4 linked regions of the Canis lupus familiaris genome follow. The protein of the gene in region 2 interacts with the protein of the main gene of each other region in a pairwise test. Links are inferred from orthologs where the notes say so. Each region holds a gene or a part of one and is shown on either strand. Other genes may lie near its edges.

What was found.
Region 1: the proteins of KATNAL1 (region 2) and COX17 interact in binary tests that used the Homo sapiens proteins (3 or more experiments, as listed by UniProt). The two-hybrid records come from large-scale screens. The link is inferred for Canis lupus familiaris from reciprocal best matches to the Homo sapiens genes KATNAL1 and COX17.
Region 3: the proteins of KATNAL1 (region 2) and KLC4 interact in binary tests that used the Homo sapiens proteins (3 or more experiments, as listed by UniProt). The two-hybrid records come from large-scale screens. The link is inferred for Canis lupus familiaris from reciprocal best matches to the Homo sapiens genes KATNAL1 and KLC4.
Region 4: the proteins of KATNAL1 (region 2) and KATNBL1 interact in binary tests that used the Homo sapiens proteins (3 or more experiments, as listed by UniProt). The two-hybrid records come from large-scale screens. The link is inferred for Canis lupus familiaris from reciprocal best matches to the Homo sapiens genes KATNAL1 and KATNBL1.

The regions. Positions count from the first base shown.
Region 1 is NC_049254.1:23,955,768-23,959,928, reverse strand, and holds the start of COX17 (cytochrome c oxidase copper chaperone), read left to right. Parts: upstream 1-1,352; 5' UTR 1,353-1,357; coding exon 1,358-1,464; intron 1,465-3,524; coding exon 3,525-3,609; 3' UTR 3,610-3,613; intron 3,614-4,161.
Region 2 is NC_049246.1:9,765,976-9,770,144, forward strand, and holds the start of KATNAL1 (katanin p60 ATPase-containing subunit A-like 1), read left to right. Parts: upstream 1-1,360; 5' UTR 1,361-1,508; intron 1,509-4,169. UniProt on the Homo sapiens protein: Regulates microtubule dynamics in Sertoli cells, a process that is essential for spermiogenesis and male fertility. Severs microtubules in an ATP-dependent manner, promoting rapid reorganization of cellular microtubule arrays.
Region 3 is NC_049233.1:11,765,623-11,769,594, reverse strand, and holds the start of KLC4 (kinesin light chain 4), read right to left. Parts: upstream 2,810-3,972; 5' UTR 2,663-2,809; intron 2,657-2,662; exon of another isoform or gene 2,573-2,656; 5' UTR 2,181-2,572; intron 2,174-2,180; exon of another isoform or gene 2,079-2,173; 5' UTR 1,943-2,078; intron 1,904-1,942; exon of another isoform or gene 1,745-1,903; intron 1,047-1,744; 5' UTR 1,022-1,046; coding exon 764-1,021; intron 1-763. Other genes in the region: MRPL2 (39S ribosomal protein L2, mitochondrial), read left to right, coding at 2,986-3,081.
Region 4 is NC_049251.1:1,135,079-1,139,093, forward strand, and holds the start of KATNBL1 (KATNB1-like protein 1), read left to right. Parts: upstream 1-1,206; 5' UTR 1,207-1,490; intron 1,491-4,015. Other genes in the region: EMC4 (ER membrane protein complex subunit 4), read right to left, coding at 501-615, 933-1,018.

The DNA.
Region 1 (4,161 bases), on a different chromosome or scaffold from region 2:
CTTCTTCTCTCGGCAAGCAGTTCCTTTCCCACCAATGCGCACCTGTGCTTGCAGTTTGGCGAGTTTCTCCCCGTTCACAATGGTTTCTTTCCTCTTGTTGGAGCAGAAATGGGACCGCGCGCGGAGGGGAGGGGAGGGGAGCGGGGGGGGGGGGGGGGTGGCGCTCAGGGGGTCTCGGGAGACCAGGTGCACAAACCGAGAAATCATTTCTATACAGCGCCAGTTTACAGCCATACCTACGGATTCCCCGAACCAAATCTCTAGCATACAGAAACGAACCTTGCTTAGGGGATACTGAGAAGTTTGATTACCCAAAATATCAATCACTAGGCAGCTCTCTGACGCCTTTAAGTCCTGGTTTTAAAAAAAAAAAAAATAAGTTCAATCCCTTTCTCCCAACAATTCTCTACAGGAAAAACAAAACAAAACAAACACAAAACACAACAACCCTCCACAACTGCAAATAGTAGGCATCCGTTTACTTATGTACCTAATGGAATTCGAGACGTGCCAAGGAAATAGTCATTTTTCAACTTCATTAACTGGTCTCTCTGCCCTACGAGTGAGAACAAGTCATAGTGAAATCAAATCACTCAGAAAGGGAGCTAGGAACAATTTTTCGCGAAGAATTAAAGTGTAGGGCAGCCCGGGTGGCTCAGCGGGTTGGCGGCTGCCTTCGGCCCAGGGCGTGACCCTGGAGACCCGGGGTCGAGTCCCACGTCGAGTCCCACGTCGGGCTCCCTGCGTGGAGCCTGCTTCTCCCTCTGCCGTGTCTCTCACGAATAAATAAATAAATAAAATCTTTTTTTAAAAAAAATTAAGGTGCATGGAGAACGGCAGGCGCGTTTTCCCCTCTCACCGGTGGGTCGCACTGTTCAAATGTCTTTGCTCATCAAGTTTAACTGAATCAGAAAATGGGAGGAGCGGGCCGACCATCCGACAGCAGGAAACACGCGGAATCGATCCGTGACTCGGCGGGGAACCGGCTTTCGTCAGCGGTTCCTCCTGGTGGGCGTGGACAAGTCATCTCACCCTCTCGGGCTTCGGTTTCCCACCGCTGGGCGGAGATACCTGCCGGTCGCCGCCTTTCCAGCCGCCCCCGGGGCGCCTCACAACCTGCCCTTTCACCCCGCGCCTCTCTGCGCCTGCGTCGAAGAAGCGCCCGCACTTCATTGCCTGTTAGCTTTCTCTGCGCAGGCGCCAAGTTTCCCCACCTCCGTCTCCTGCGGTGGGGGGAGGGGCGGGACTTCCTGTCCCCCGTAGGGCTCCGCCGGAAGTGACGGCGAGCGAATCGGCGTGCGCCGGGCCTGGAACCGGGTAAGGTGGCGGTGCTCATTGCTGCCTCTAGGCCTCAAAGATGCCGGGCCTGGCGGCCGCAAGCCCTGCCCCATCTGACTCACAGGAGAAGAAGCCGCTGAAGCCCTGCTGCGCCTGCCCGGAGACCAAGAAGGCGCGCGATGCGTGGTCAGTGCGCAAGCGGGAGGGGGCGGCGGGCAGGTGCCTCCGTACCCCGCTCGGCCTCGGGCTCGTACCGGACCCGGCTCGCTGTGCTGCGCCCTTGGGAGTTGTAGGGCGCCGTGGGCTGTGGGCCGGCTGTCCCCGTAGCCCAGCCGGGGGACGTGGACGAAGCGGGCTCGCTTCACCCGTTCAGCTTTTCTGCAAAGGGTCTTTGAGCATCTGTTACGCGTCAAGTGCTGCCCTTCGGTCTCCTAAATACGTAGAAATAGATGAAAGATGCGAATTGACTTAAAAAGGAGCTTAAAATTAATGGAAGTCTATACTAATGATTGCTGTTACCACCCGGTACGGGGTAGGAGAGAAGACTTGGCAAGATCGAAGAGTAAAAGTTTTCTGGTAAAATTTTAGCACAGCGGGACCCGGTTACGTGTCTTAAAAGTACTGGAGTCCCCCTTGCCTCTCCTCCTCCATCATCTTTGGAGAGATGAATGAAAAAAATCATCTGTGAAGCAGGGTGACACCGTGTTGAGAATAGTACATCTAAATTACCAATTACCATCAACCCACGGAAGGTTTCGTTTCTTTTCATTTGATACCGCCTCCGTTGTGGATTGTGGAACAAATCTCATTCGGGGGAATGGGCAGAAAATGTGAATGCACACCTCTCCCTCCAGCCCCTTTTTTATCCTCACACCAAAAAAAAAAAAAAAATTCAAAAGTGGCATAGTGCGGTTAAGTTGTAAGGAGCTTAGTGCTTTTTATTACTGCTCGATACTTCGCAACTAATACCGCGAAAGAATCGAAAGGCGACAGTCTGATGCAGAAATGGCTTTCCTAGTTTACAGTAAGTGCTTATTGAATCTTAAAAAGAGCCCGGAGTCATGACTGAGAGCCTGAGATGCAGAGTCAAGGTTTGATTTGAATCCTTGGTCCACCAGCTTTGTGACCTTGAGCAAATCACTTAAGGTACCTGCGTCCTGTGTCTGTAAAATGGGTCTAATAAAAGTGTCCGCCTCTAGGATTACTGTACAGGTCAATGATACAAGCCACACGAGGGCCTCGCCAGCTGTTCTCTTCACAGGGGGCTCTATCCCCAGCATCCCTTCATCTGCAGGCAGCCCTTGAGCTATTGAAGGATGTATGGTCTTTCTTTCTTTCTTTCTTTCTTTCTTTCTTTCTTTCTTTCTTTCTTTCTTTCTTTCTTTCTTTCTTTCTTTCTTTCTTTCTTTCTTTCTTTCTTTCTTTCTTTCTTTCTTTCTTTCTTTCTTTCTTTCTTTCTTTCTTTCTTTCTTTCTTTTCTTTAAAGAAGGAAAACCTATCCTTCCGATTGTTTTCATGTTAGTTGCCTCAGACCACTATGCACAAATATCTATAGTCAGTAGTCAGTTTTTTCTTATAATTAAATTCGGCTTAACTTCATCTTTACTAAAATTGCCTTTTCAGGCCCTAGAAGTCAAGCTGTATGGTCCTAGTTTTTACTTTGTGCATCCTACAAATAGAAAGTTCTTTGATCATCATGAGGGAGGCTCATTAGGCTGCTGTTGGCTGGCAGATCTTGATGTTTATGTGGTTGGGTGTATTTTGATTAGAAGGAGATTTATTTGGGTCTATTTGAATGTAGGGCAGAATGAAAAATTTAATTATTTTATAGTAGGCAAATTGAAGGTAAATGTTCAGATGGTTTATTTCATTAGAGAACTATGTATGTTCCTTGGATATAAGCTAGAGGCAATATTTGATAGGCATAATTATTTCTTCTAATTAGATTCTCCCTAAAAGCTAGTTGTCTGTGGAATATCTTCATGGGCACAGAAATATTACAAAAGCCAATAAAAACAAAGCCATTCGGTGTAATAGCATTTTTTTTTAAAGCTCCAGCTACTGTTGGCAAATCAAACTCCAATAAAAAGATAAATACAAAAATGAAGAAATAAAAAAATAAAGCTTCAGCTACATTCCATCAGACCCATGTTCTGTCTCACCCCCCATCACTATCATGCTGCTTGTTTACTAGTAATGTACTTAATGCCTACTTTGTTAGATAACAAGTACATTTTGTTTTATAGCATCATTGAGAAAGGAGAGGAGCACTGTGGACACCTAATTGAGGCCCACAAGGAGTGCATGAGAGCCCTGGGATTTAAGATATGAAATGGTGAGCGTGATACTTTCTGATTGGGAAGATAATACATAAGCTTATTGCTTCAAATTTGTGCTTTGCATATTTAGCAGTCATTGGGCAAGCTTCCATTCAAAGTGTAGTTCACCTGGTTAAGATGCTCAAGTCTCACTTAAAAATAATTTTCAGTTTCTAATGTAGGGACTAAATGATGCTAATAAGTTGAGAGGCATTCAGTGGATTTGGGGAGGGAGAATTTATCTTTTAAAACAGGGTTTGATAAAAGCCTTTAGAGTTACGTCAGAGTCAGAAGAGATAATAATTTAAGAAGCTCAGAATGTTCAGTTGTCTGACTTAAAGGAACTAAAAAGAAAATAATCTTTACTTCTTGTCTCTGAAGTGGGTCTTTATTTTTTTAAGGATTTTGTTTCTTTGACAGAGAGGACAAGCAGGGGGAATGGGAGAGGGAGAAGCAGACTCCTCACGGAGCAGGGAGCCAGATGTAGGGCTCCATCCCAGGACCCCAGGATCATGAGCCGAAGGCAGATGCTTAACCAACTGAGCCACCCAGGTGCCCTGTTGTG
Region 2 (4,169 bases):
ATTTATTGGTAGAAAATGACAGGGTAATTCTGCCGCCCCCCTTCCTCCGTTTATTTAAATTACTAGGTCTCATTTTCCTCATCTGCAAAGTCTGGAGATTGGACAGAGACCATCTCCGTGGTTTCTATTAGAGTCTACAGCTCTAATAACGATGTTACAGATGCAGAGAACAGACTGGTGGTTGCCAGATGTGGGGATTGGGAGTAGTGGGTGAGGAGGGTGGTCGAAGGGTACAAATTTCCTATTGTAAAATAAGTCAGTCCTGGGGATGTAAGGTACAGCCTGGTGACCAAAGTTAACAACACTGTATTGTATATTTGTAAGTTGCTAAGACTGATCTTGAATTATTTTTATGTTTTTTTTTTTTTTTTTGAGGTACATTCACCTACAGTGAAATGTGCAGATTTTACGGGTACTATTCCATGAGTTTTGACAAAGGCATATGCCTCTGTAACCCGAAGCCTAAGGAAGAGACAGAGCTTCTCCATCACTAGAGAATTCCGTCTTCAGCCGCACCCCAGCCTCCCCTCCGGCCACCCCTCTTCTGACTCTTACCACGAAGGGTTAAATAAGATTTAAACATTGTTAAATGCCAGTCTTTGTTTCACAGTGGTCCATCGGTATCGACGCCCTGATTTCTCCAAGGCACTGGGCACTAGACATCGTCTCCATTTTGCAGAGTAAGGCGTTCCGCATCCGGGAGTGAACTGCCCCCGGGGATCCGCTGCCCCGGGTAGGGGCAGGGCGGGAACCGAGAAGCGGTTCTGCGGTTTCTACGGTTTCTACGGCCCCGGCCCCGCACCTCTGAGAAGGCTGCTGCAGAGTCCACAAACCATCACCTCAGGAATAGCATACGCCTCAAACGTTCAGCCCAAATCGGCGCCTCTTAGGCGTTCTCAGACCTCAACAATCCGAAAGGCCGTACGCTCTACACCTTACTAAGGGACTCCTCTCCACCCTGCTCCTCCGAAAGCGGCAGAGGGTGTGCAACACTGCAAATGGGATTTTGCTGGTGGAAAGGCCAAAGGGGGACGGGCCGGCCCGGGCCCGACGACCTTTACGGAGCCCGGCGGCGAGACGCCCGGCGCTGCCTCCTCCGGCGCCACAGCTACCGTCTCAGAATAGAGCGGCACCGAGGCGCTCCGCCGACCGCAGCGGACCAGCGTCCGGCCGAGGGATTGGCCGCGGCCGCGGCAGGGCTCGTCGGGCAGTCCCCGAGCTCGATCAGCCGCGCGTCCTCCTCCAGGTCACCGCCCGCCCCTCTCCGCCTCACCCTTGCGCCGCCCTTCCCCCGCACCCGGGCGGGGTTCTCAGGCTCCTCCCCCGAGTTGACTGTGAGCCTCTGTGCTCCCCCCACCGCTCGCCTCGCGGCTGCCATGGCAACCGTACGCCGCCGCCGCCGCCTCTTCACGCACGTCGGGAACTAACGGACTCGGCGGCCGCAGAGGCCTGTGCCCTTCCCCCAACCGGGCCGCATCACCAACCGGCGGCCGAGCTGCGGCACCTAGGTAATGAATCCGAGGGAGAGGGGCGCAAGCAGGAGAGCAGGTGGGGGGGTATCCAGGCTGACAGCCCCACCCAGTGTCCCGCCGCCTAGGCGGTGCGGCGGCGCGGCGGTCGGGGCGCCGGCAGGGGAGGTGGAGAACAGTGGGAGCTCGAGGCTCGCGGGGCATTATGGGGATCGTAGTTTAGCGGCCCCGCAGGCTTGCGGCCGTGGCGGCGTGGCCTGGACCGGCGAACTACAAAGCCCGGCGGCCCTGGCTGCTGGGAAAGACCGATAAACTTTGAGCCTACCGGGCCAGAGAAAATCTGTGTCTTTGTGGTGCTGGGGCTCTTGGGTGGTCGCCGAACTGCGCTCTGCGCTGGGAAAGGGAAGTGGAGGTGAGACTTGGGCTTCCCGTCCTGCCGTTTGGCCCGCCCCGGTTAACAGCGCTCAGCCCCACCCCGACTGGGCTGGGCCACCGCCCCCGGTAGTCTCGGTGATGAGCAGCCGCCCCAGCTGCAGGGCCTCGGGCCTGCGGCGCCTCTGACCCTCCCAGGTTGCTGCTGCCGCTCGGTGCCGAACCGTATGTATGGCACACATTTGATGGGAGACCGAGAAACGGTTTTTTTTAACAGGCCTTTCTCCTTTCCCTAATACGTTTATTTTTAGATATTTAATCATGTTTATTCTGAAGTAGCTCGGAGGTGTTTGCATATTAAAGCCATTAATAATTACTCAGAGGGCATTAATATTTAAAGGTCAAGTGTAGAAGTAGAGACCATGCTATTATATAGTAATACCTTAAAAAAAAACCGTTCTGCCTTTTGCGTTTTATTTATTGAGGGTCAATATTGTAAAATGAGCCCCCCTCACCCCTACTTAATACTAGCTTGAACATTACCTACACATATTTGAAGATTAATTTAGCTTTAAATTACTAGTGATTTTTAAAGCACAGACTGGTCTTTTTTTTTTTTTTTTTTTAAAGCAGTGAGTAGTAGTAATTATTTTCTTTGATTATTTTAATGTTCTTTAGAATTTCTCGGTAGCATGTTTTCAGAATGAAAAATGCCGTGTTCTACTTAAAAAAAAACAAAAAACAAAAAACTCTGCAATACACCTTAGTCCTTAGAGTTGGCTCAGGCCTTGGTGGTAAGGAAGCCCACCAGATTTAAAAAACCTGCCTTGATTATCTTTTAAAATTTTTTCAACAGGTAGATAACGATCCTAGAAATTTGGTATTTTATAGAGTATGTGGAAAAAATTGATAGTAGAGTGGTCTTATTTTGTGTGTTTTACATCATTTTTTTAAAAAAGAATTTATTAGCACAAGCAGAGGGAGCAGCTGAGGGACAGGGAGAAGGAGGCTCCCAGCTTAGCAGAGCTTCTTGATTCCCAAGACCCTGAGATCATGACCTGAGCCAAAGGCAGACACTTGACCAACTGTGTTTTATTTATTTATTTATTTTTAAACTTAAAAAAAAAAAAATTAGTTTTGAGAGAGAACAAGTGGGAAGGGGCAAGGGCAGAGGAGGAAACAAACTTTCCACTGAGCAGCAGGGAGTCTGATGCAGGACTGATCCCAGGACCCTGGGAGCATGACTTGAGCCAAAGGCAGATGCTTAACTGACTGAGTCACCCAGCTCCCCAGACTGTGTTTTAAACAAGAAAATAACACAGCGCCCCTACAAAATTCCCTTTTTCTCAAAATAAGACTGGCTTGTAAATTTTACTTAAAGTACCAATTTTTTACAAGGATATGGAAAGTAAATTTTGTAAGACCATTATAAAAAAATTGAGGCCTTATTAGGGGTTGGAAGCATTTTATTTGTTTATTCAAGATTTGTTAAGAACCTATTATATTGGGGACACCTGGGTGCCTCAGTGGTTGAGCGTCTGCCTTTGGCTCAGGGCGTGATCCTGGAGTCCAGTGATCGAGTCCCACATCGGGCTCCCTGCATGGAGCCTGCCTCTCCCTCTGCCTGTGTCTCTGCCTCTTTCTGTGTCTCTCATGAATAAATAAATAAAATCTACAAAAGAACCTATTATATTGTATATTATGCCTGGTAGTGGGAATAAAAAGATGATAGAAGATAATCTGTGTTCTGTATGAGCAAACAGTTACATCATCACAATAGTATGATAGAGGTAGGTGCAAGTTACTGTAGGATCCCAGAGTGGGAATAAATAGTCATATAACATTTAACTGTTATTGAATACTTAATTTTAGTGAGGCTCCGTGCAGTATTTTGCACGTAGCCCATTATTTAATTCTCATAAAAATTTCTAGCTACTGTTATTTAGAAATGAGGAAGCAAACTAAGAGATCTTGTCCAGAGTCATAGGTGATAAAGTTTGAACCTGGGATTTCAACTCAGGTGGGGTATAACTCATTTAAGTCATGATCTCAGCCCCTGATGCCATTCTCTGTACCCATTGGTAGAAAGATTCTGACCCTAAGGAGATTAGGGGAAGTTTCCAGTATGGTGTGACATTTGACTTGTGTTAAGAAAGTTGAGTAACCTTTCAATGGAAGAGAAGATGAGGAAAGTCATTTTAGGCAAATGGCAAAGGATAATTTCTAGTGGTTTGTGTTTGCAGAACCCTAGGTCTTTCTTATACCTCAGTCCCAGAGTATGAGTACTTGCAGTGTAGTGGGTGGAAGATGGTAAAGTACTTGGTACCA
Region 3 (3,972 bases), on a different chromosome or scaffold from region 2:
CATGCTCCACTGACTGAGCCAGCACTTCATTTTCTATTTTGCTTCACCTCATCCACTCTACTGCAGCCACACTGGTCCCTCATTGAACTCACTGGGAAGGCTCCAGGTCAGGGCCTTTGTATGTACTACCCACTCTGCTTTAGCTGCTCTTCCCCCCATTTATTGTAAGACTCACTCTCTCATCTTCAAATCTTTGCTCAAATGTCACCTTTCAGTAAGACTTTTTTTTTAAGATTTTATTTATTCATGACAGATACAGAGAGAGGCAGAGACACAGGCAGAAGGAGAAGCAGGCTCCTCGCAAGGAGCTTGATATGGGACTCAATCCCGGGACTGAGATCATGCCCTGAGTCAAAGGCAGACGCCCAACCGCTGAGCCACTCAGGTGTCCCTCGGTAAGACTTTTTTTGACCACCCTATCTAAAGTTGTGTCCTGTCTCTGTACCCCCTAGTCCCCTTCTCTGTTTTATTTTTATCCCTTTTCCTTAGCAATTATCACTCTGACATACAGAATCATTTACTTATTTGTGTATTGTTTGCCTCCTGCCACTAGAATGTAAGCTCCGAGATGGCAACGATTTTTGACTGTTGTGTCCAGTGATGTTTCTTCAGTGCCCAGAAGACTTGTGCTGGGCACAAAGTAGGGTTACTGAATGAATGAATAAATGAATGAATGCAAGCATCTAGGACAAGGCAATCCTAAATGACCCCAAATCTCCAATACTTCTCCAAGAGCCCCTTGGCGTCACCTCCTTCCTCTTACCTGGGCCTCACTGAGCCCCAGCTCAATGTTTTCCATGGAACGTCGCAGCTGCCGGGCCTTCTCATGCACCAGTCCTTCTTCATGGCCACCTTGCTGCAGACACTCAATGGTATGGGACAGACTTTGCAGGACAGCCTGATGTTCACTGTGTAGAGCCTCCAGCCCCTGGCTTACCAGCCGAGTGCTTCCCAGGATCTCCTCCTGGCTGAGCCGGTGCCCTGCAGGCTCATCCCGCTGACCCAACACCAGGCCTGACATCTTAGCCAGGGGGACCTTGCCTGGGCTGAGGAGAAACAACAGAACTCAGTAGAGGTAAAGATAAGAGAGACTGAGCACCTTGGTTAGAGGGTGGTAAGGATCCAAGGGAAGGGATGAGAGAGAGTATGGGTGATCTTCTGGTTTAATTGGAGAGACAGTGGCCAGTGGGGAGGGAGCCTACAAAGCTAAAGTTGTGGGAAAGAGAGAGGAAGAAGAATTGACTCGAATGAAGAAAGACTATAGAAGGAACAAAAGTGCTGAGAACCAGCTAACAAATTTAGCACTTAGGAAGAGAATAGAAAAGTTGTCGGAAATAGCGCTTGGGCTAGGAATAGGAAAAGGAATCAGATGAGAGACAGCATTAGAGGGAACACAGAGGGTGTCTGGAGAATGCTGCAAAGTTAACAGGGTTAAAGCCAACAAAAGATATAAAGAAAATGGTACAGAGGTTTTGTTAAATGGGAAAGGTACAGGTTTCAAAGTTAGAGGGAAGAGGGAGAGAAGAAGAAAGGCACCTTCACTGCAGGACCCAAATGAGAGTCCCCCAGGAAGCTCAAGGTCTTCAGACTCCGTCACCCTCAGAGCCAAGGCCAGCATCTCCAAACCTAGTAAACTGCCTCTTCCCCCACTAGGCCTTCAACCGATACTTCCCACCTGCCAGGTGCCAGGCTCTCTTCCCACCTCCTCAAAAGACCTTGTTTCTCATCTTTCCAGGACTCTTACCGGTTTAGAGCAGAGCCCTTGCCTGTGGCACTCAGGCCAGAGCCCGGAAGAAACTCTTTCAGTAGCCAGGTACTCACAGGATCTGCCCTGCCCAAAGTCCAGAAGTCCAGCGTTCCCACCCCTTCTCTCTCCACTTCACAGCCACCCAGAGGACCTGGCACAGAGCCCTACTCAGGGCAGCACCCTCCCTCTCTCTACCTCCAAGGCCTTCAAAGGCGACCAACGTCGGTCCCTCTTCCTTCCTGAAGCCGACCTTCCACCCCAGGCCACTGGGAGCTATTTTCTCCCAAGAATGGAGTGATACTTGATCCGAGACCTGTGGCCAGGGGCGTGTCTGGGAAGGGAGAGGAGGGAGACCTGGTCACTCCTGAGCCATTCACTTTCAAGGCTTTGTCTTTGTCATGACCACCTAGTAATAGGCTCCAAGAGGAGTCACCTCAGGGTGCCTCTCAGACGCCTGAAGATGCAGGAAAGAATGGCAGGTCTTCAGAGCGGCTGTAGAGTCACAGGGAAACGCGGCGCCGGGAGTTGGTCTCCCAGCCTGGGAATGCAGTAGAGAAATGTCCCCGGCTGTCGACCTGCCCTGGGGCCCAGGGTGGGGACAGAGTGAAACGGGCGGGGGCGATGGCGGTGGGGGGAGGTGCGGGTGGCCGGCCGAGGCCCGCCGCACCGGCGAGCCCCCAGCCGCCCGACAATCCCGAGGTCAACGTGTCTGTCCGTAGCGCAGGGGGCGGGGCAGGCCGTCTGTCTGTCTGTCTGGACGCCGAGGGGCGGGAAGACTCGCAGGGGGCGGAGTTTTTCAGCCAGTCTGGAGTTGTGCGAGGTCAGCTGGTGGGAATTTGTTCATCTGTCCGGGAATGCGGAAAAGAGGTAGCGGGACCTCAGCCCTCAGCCCCAGGAGTACCCTCGAAGACTCACCCGCAGTCTGTCGCTCTGGCCGCCTCCCTTGCCGGTACTGCCCCTTTAAATTAATCATGGCTGCCGCTCGAGGCAATTGTTTTGACGGCTCCGAGGGGAGGGGCCGAGTGCTCCCCAGTCACGCGACCTAAGGACCGCCCGGGGATTGGCTCTGGCCACGCGCACGGAGGTGTGTATGCACCTTGGGCTCGGAGTCTCTGCCCACCTCTTTACGTCATGAAGGAGCGACCGCACCAGGATTCGTTGGCGTCATCTATAGACGCCAGGCGGCCTGACTAAAAGTAATGGTGGTGCGCTGACTCCTGCGGAGCCTCGGTACCCTCATGGCCCTGAGGGCACTGACTCGCGCCCTGGGCTCCCTGAGCCTGACGCCCCCAGCCGCTGCTGCCCTCGGCCCGGGCCTGCTGCCAGCAGCCCAGGTAATCCACCCTATCTGGAAATGCTGTTTCTGTTCGGGCCGCCGGAGAGGGTACCCCGGCATGGGAGGCGGAGAATGAGTCTGGTCAGAAGTCACGCCCGCCCGGCCCGAGCGCTTGAATAAATCACTCTCAGCCTCAGCTTTCTGATTTGTTAAGTGTTCCTGTCCCACCAGGCCGCTGGATTCCTCGGATGAGATACGGAGGCGAAAGTACTTTACAGGCCACTGTACAGGGTTCAATAGTAACTGATAGCACCAATCGTAAGCCAAGCATAAGTAATAGATAATTTAAAGAAATGAACTCCTTTCAACCAATGTATAAGGCAGTTGTCATTACCATTTTATATATGAGAAAACTGATTGGCAGTCCAAGGTCATACACCAAATATTGGAGCTAGACAGTCTGGCTTCACAATCTGGGCTCTTAACCACTAAAGATGAATTATTGCTGAGATTAGAGAATGCGGGGCAAAATAACAAGATTAGGAGCCGAAGGAAAGGTATCCTCTATGTCCCTTGTGGACGATTGGTAAGTCACAGAAAAGTTTTAAGTCTTGTTCCTCTGGACCTTTCTGGATGATGGTAGACTTTGGCAGATGCATACTTAAAATTCAAAACCAAGGTAACTTACTCCAAAATGCTGGGAATACAGCAGAGAACAAGACAAATGATCCCTCCACCCCATTCACATCTGGAAAACTCCCAGAAACAGAATACAGAGGGGCAAAAGGCACTGGCACTGATGGTGGCTATGGGTGTGTGAAAGTTACCAGGCTTGGAAAAGGGAATTGTTTAGGGAAGGAAGAGCCTCCCAGAGAAGAGAGGTTCTGAGCCAAGTTTGGAAGGTGATGCACAACGGGAAGAACATGCCATTGAAGAAATACTTCGGAGG
Region 4 (4,015 bases), on a different chromosome or scaffold from region 2:
TGGGGGAAGAGTGTTCCAGGAAGAGGGAAAGAACATGTACAAGCAGTCCGAGAGAGATGGAAGCCTGCCCGCTATTTTCAAGGAGCAGCAAGGAGGCCATTCTGACTAGAGTGGAATGAAGAACAAACGGGAAAGTGGTAAGAGATGAAATCACTCAGAATGACAGTTAAAACAGGAAGCAGTGAAAAACAGCAAATTTTTCATCTGTCTCAACATAAAGCAAAAAGAATATCCTGACACACTGGCTGTGTGGTTGTAAGGGAACTAGAGTAACTCTTACGCGCTGGCACTAATAATTTTCAACCTAGTTATACGTTCAAACATCTTATTTTTCCAATTATTAAGCGCTTGTACTACTGTAAGTTAATCTCAAGCAGTTTATCTACCCATATTAGGGATAAGCCTCCTACAGTTGGCTATTCATATGCTGCCTGGGACGGGAGGGGGCCGTGCAGGGCAGAGCCGGGCTGAGCACGGCTGTGACAGCTGTACCTCTGTACCTTCTCCACCAGAATGCGGTCCGCCTCTTGCACGCTGGTATCCGGCACTTGCTTGTCCAAATAACCGACGGGGTACAGCGAGTCTCCCTGGCCACCGCCCCGGTCACTTCGGCTCCTAAGGAACCAAACCAAGAAACTAAGGCTGCAGCCTCCCACCCTTCACATTCCACGTTCCCGCTCCACTAACCATGGAATTTTCCAAAGACCCTAAAATACACCCGCCCAGATTAGAACACGCCGTCTCGTGGGTTCGTCAGACGTCTGCCTATCGAGTGAGTGAAATCAGGATCCTCGGAGGATTAGAAAGCTCCCCGGGGCCCGTCTTTGTGCCACCCGTCATTCTCGGAGGGTTGGACCTGGGGTCAGGTCCCGTTCCCGGGCGACCGTTCTGGTTGAAGGCTCGGGTTACCGAGCTCCGCCCCGGCTCCTCACCTGCTGCCTCCTCCAGGCCCGCTCAGCTCAATGGCCCACTTGAAACGCCGGCCTCGGTTGGCCACCAGGCTCCCCTGGGCCGTCATGGCACCCGCCTCCTACCGGAGCAGCGAACCTCGTCACTCCCCGGCGGGGTCCAGGCCCTGGCCCCGGCCCCGGCCCCGGACGCCGCTACGTCTGGGTCTCCCCGCGGCCCGCTTCCGGCGCTTAGCATAGACGTCACTTCCGGTCTGGAAGTGGGCGGGGCCTCCGCGGGGGCGGGGGGCCCCGCCGCGGAGGACGGCCGGCCGCGGCTCCCCAGGTCGCGCGGCCCTGGGGGTGTATCCCGGGAGCCCCGACGTGCACGCGAGCGAGCGAGCGGGAGGCGGGCTGCGGTGCGCCCTGCCCCTGCGCTAGGGGTGAAAGCCGAGCTCGCCTTCTCGAGTTCCTGCGCGCCCCGGAAACACGAGGCGCAGGCCTCGGCTTCACGCCCGGATCCGCGTGGGGTCCTCCGACCGGGAGCGGGTTCTTGACTGGCTTCCCGAGGCGAACGAGCGCCTGCCAGGTCCCGGGAGTTGGGTCTGTGTTATTCAAGTCACATCAATCCTGCTGATGAAGTTTTGGAATCGGGGTGGGGGGTGGGGTGGGGTGGGGTCCGGTCCGCAGCCCACGACCGAGGAGGAAGTCTGGAGACGTCTTTGGTGCAAAATGGTGCTTTCATTAAAGCCCGGGACGGGACCTGGGGGCAGGAAGGGCTGCAGCCCCCTTGGGTTCCCGGGGGTGGCTGACGCTACACCTGGGGGCTGGGGGCTTGAGGGCAAGGGAGGCTTTCAAACGAATGTCTGTAGGCTGACGCGGGCCTCGGGCCTCGGGCCACTGGCGGCCTTGCCGGCGGCCAGTTAAGGCGGTTCTTCCTCTAGTAAAGCGTTAACGTTCGGACGGTTGGGCGTCTCCTTCTGGACGTTAGGCTGCTGATACGCATGCGTTTTTCTTGTGAATCACAAAGACCCCGAGGGACACTTGTGCCGTAGAACTGTAGCCCCTCGGTTAGCTGCTCTTCCTTTCCCTTCGCGTCAGGGCCGGCAGGAGCGCCTCAGGAGGCCACATCCCCTGGGGCGGGCGGGCCTCGTCGGCGGCGTGTCCGCTGAGCTCCGTCCTCAGCCTTGTGTGCCCTCGTCGCGCAAGGCGAATCCTTCTGTGACCTTGCTGCCCCAGAGCTGGGAGCAGTGCGGACGTGGGCAGCTTATGGGCTTGACATTCAGATGGCCTCCCTCGGATCCTGGCTCTTTACTTACTTGTGTGACTCTGGACACGTTAGATATTTAGGGCTTCAGCCTCTTCGTAGGTAGGAGTTGGATAATCCACCTGCTTTAGGACGCCTGGGGGGCTCGGCGGTCGAACGCCTCCCTTCCGCTCGGGGCGTGACCCCGGGGTCCCGGGATGAGGCCCGCCCGCCCGCCCGCATCGTGCGCCCTGCAGGGAGCCTGCTTCTCCTCTTACTGCCTGTGTCTCTGCCTCTCTCGGTGTCTCCCATGAATAAATAAATCTTTTTTTAAAAAAAATTACCTACTTGCAAGGCTTATGAGGGTAAAAGGAGTGCCTGCCACGAATGCTTTTTTTTTTTTTTTTTTTTTGATTAAAAAAGTACTCTAAAGAAGCGCCTGGGTGGCACATTTGGTTAGGATCCGCCTTCAGCTCCCATCATGATCCCGGGGTCCTGGATTGGAGCCCTGCATCGGGCTCCCTGCTCAGTGGGGACACAGCTTATCCCTTCTCCCTCTACCTCTGCCCACTCCCCCACCCATGCTCTCTAGCTCTTACTCTCTTTCAAATAAAATCTTAAAAAAAAAAAAAAAGCACACTAGCTATTGGATTTTTGTATTGAGTTCTATACCTATATAATAATATAACCTGTTATGGATACTTGTTTCCCGTTTTTTTTTCCCCTTTTATAAACAAACAGTGTTTATTAACCCTATGTCTTTTCTTACTAAAATTCCTAAGAATGCAGTTGCTGGATCAAAGATTGCACGTTTTTTTTTTTTAAGATTTTATTCATTTCTTCACAAGAGCCACAGAGACAAAGAGGGGGCAGAGACACAGGCAGAGGGAGAAGCAGGCTCCATCCCAGGACTCCAGGATCACACCCTGGGCCGAAGGCAAGGTCTAAACCGCCGAGCCACCCAGGAATCCCCAAAGATTGCAAATTTTTAAGGAATTTTCATTTTAAATGTCTTCTAGCAGTATCCATTTGCACCCATTTGCATTCCACCAGCCTTATATTATTTTTAAATTGGTTTGAAAATGGTTCTGTATTTTCAGACTTTTATTCCTTTGACTCCAAGTTATCTGATATGGTCAGGGTTGGGGTGAGGGAAGAAGAGTGCTATGAGAGTCTGGTTGGGAGGTGAGGTTGAAAAGGGCCAATTAGAGAGTTTGGACCCTTGAAGATGATGGTGATCTAGGGACACAAGATTTCCATCCCCATTTTGTCTTCTCCTTTTAAAGATATTTTGTGTTCATGGCAGACTGTTTGAATAAGGTGGAAAAGGCTTTTCCCCTTCCAGTTCATTCTAAAATGTGTATTTATATGATCATAGGAAGACCAGACCTGTGGATTGCTTTCCTGCTTCTTTCTACTTTTCTGGCTTTATCTGTTATCTCTAATGAACCTTTGAGACTGATGTCAGACTGTACAAGGGTCTTGGCCCTATTGGGCAATCTTCTTTGTCCCAGAACAGTCTATGTAATAGCACTTACCAAATTGCACTTGTGTTTGTTGACGTCCCTTGAGCACGTATCTACCCTTCTTGCTGCACTATGCCCTAAATTCCTTTAAGTTAGGAACTACATGTCAATTATTTTGGATTCCACTGCCTAGAACATAATGTATTGAATAAATGTTTAGTGAATATGAGCAAGTTAATAGAAAGTAAATATACTATAATTACATTTATGTGAAAAAATGTAAAAACTCAAAGAGAATACATGTTAGGGTGTTATATATTCAATCAATGGTTTCCATGAAATTTTTTTTGATCAAACTATTGTCCTGCTTCTTAAATAAATTGTAAAGCGGGATCCCTGGGTGGCGCAGCAGTTTA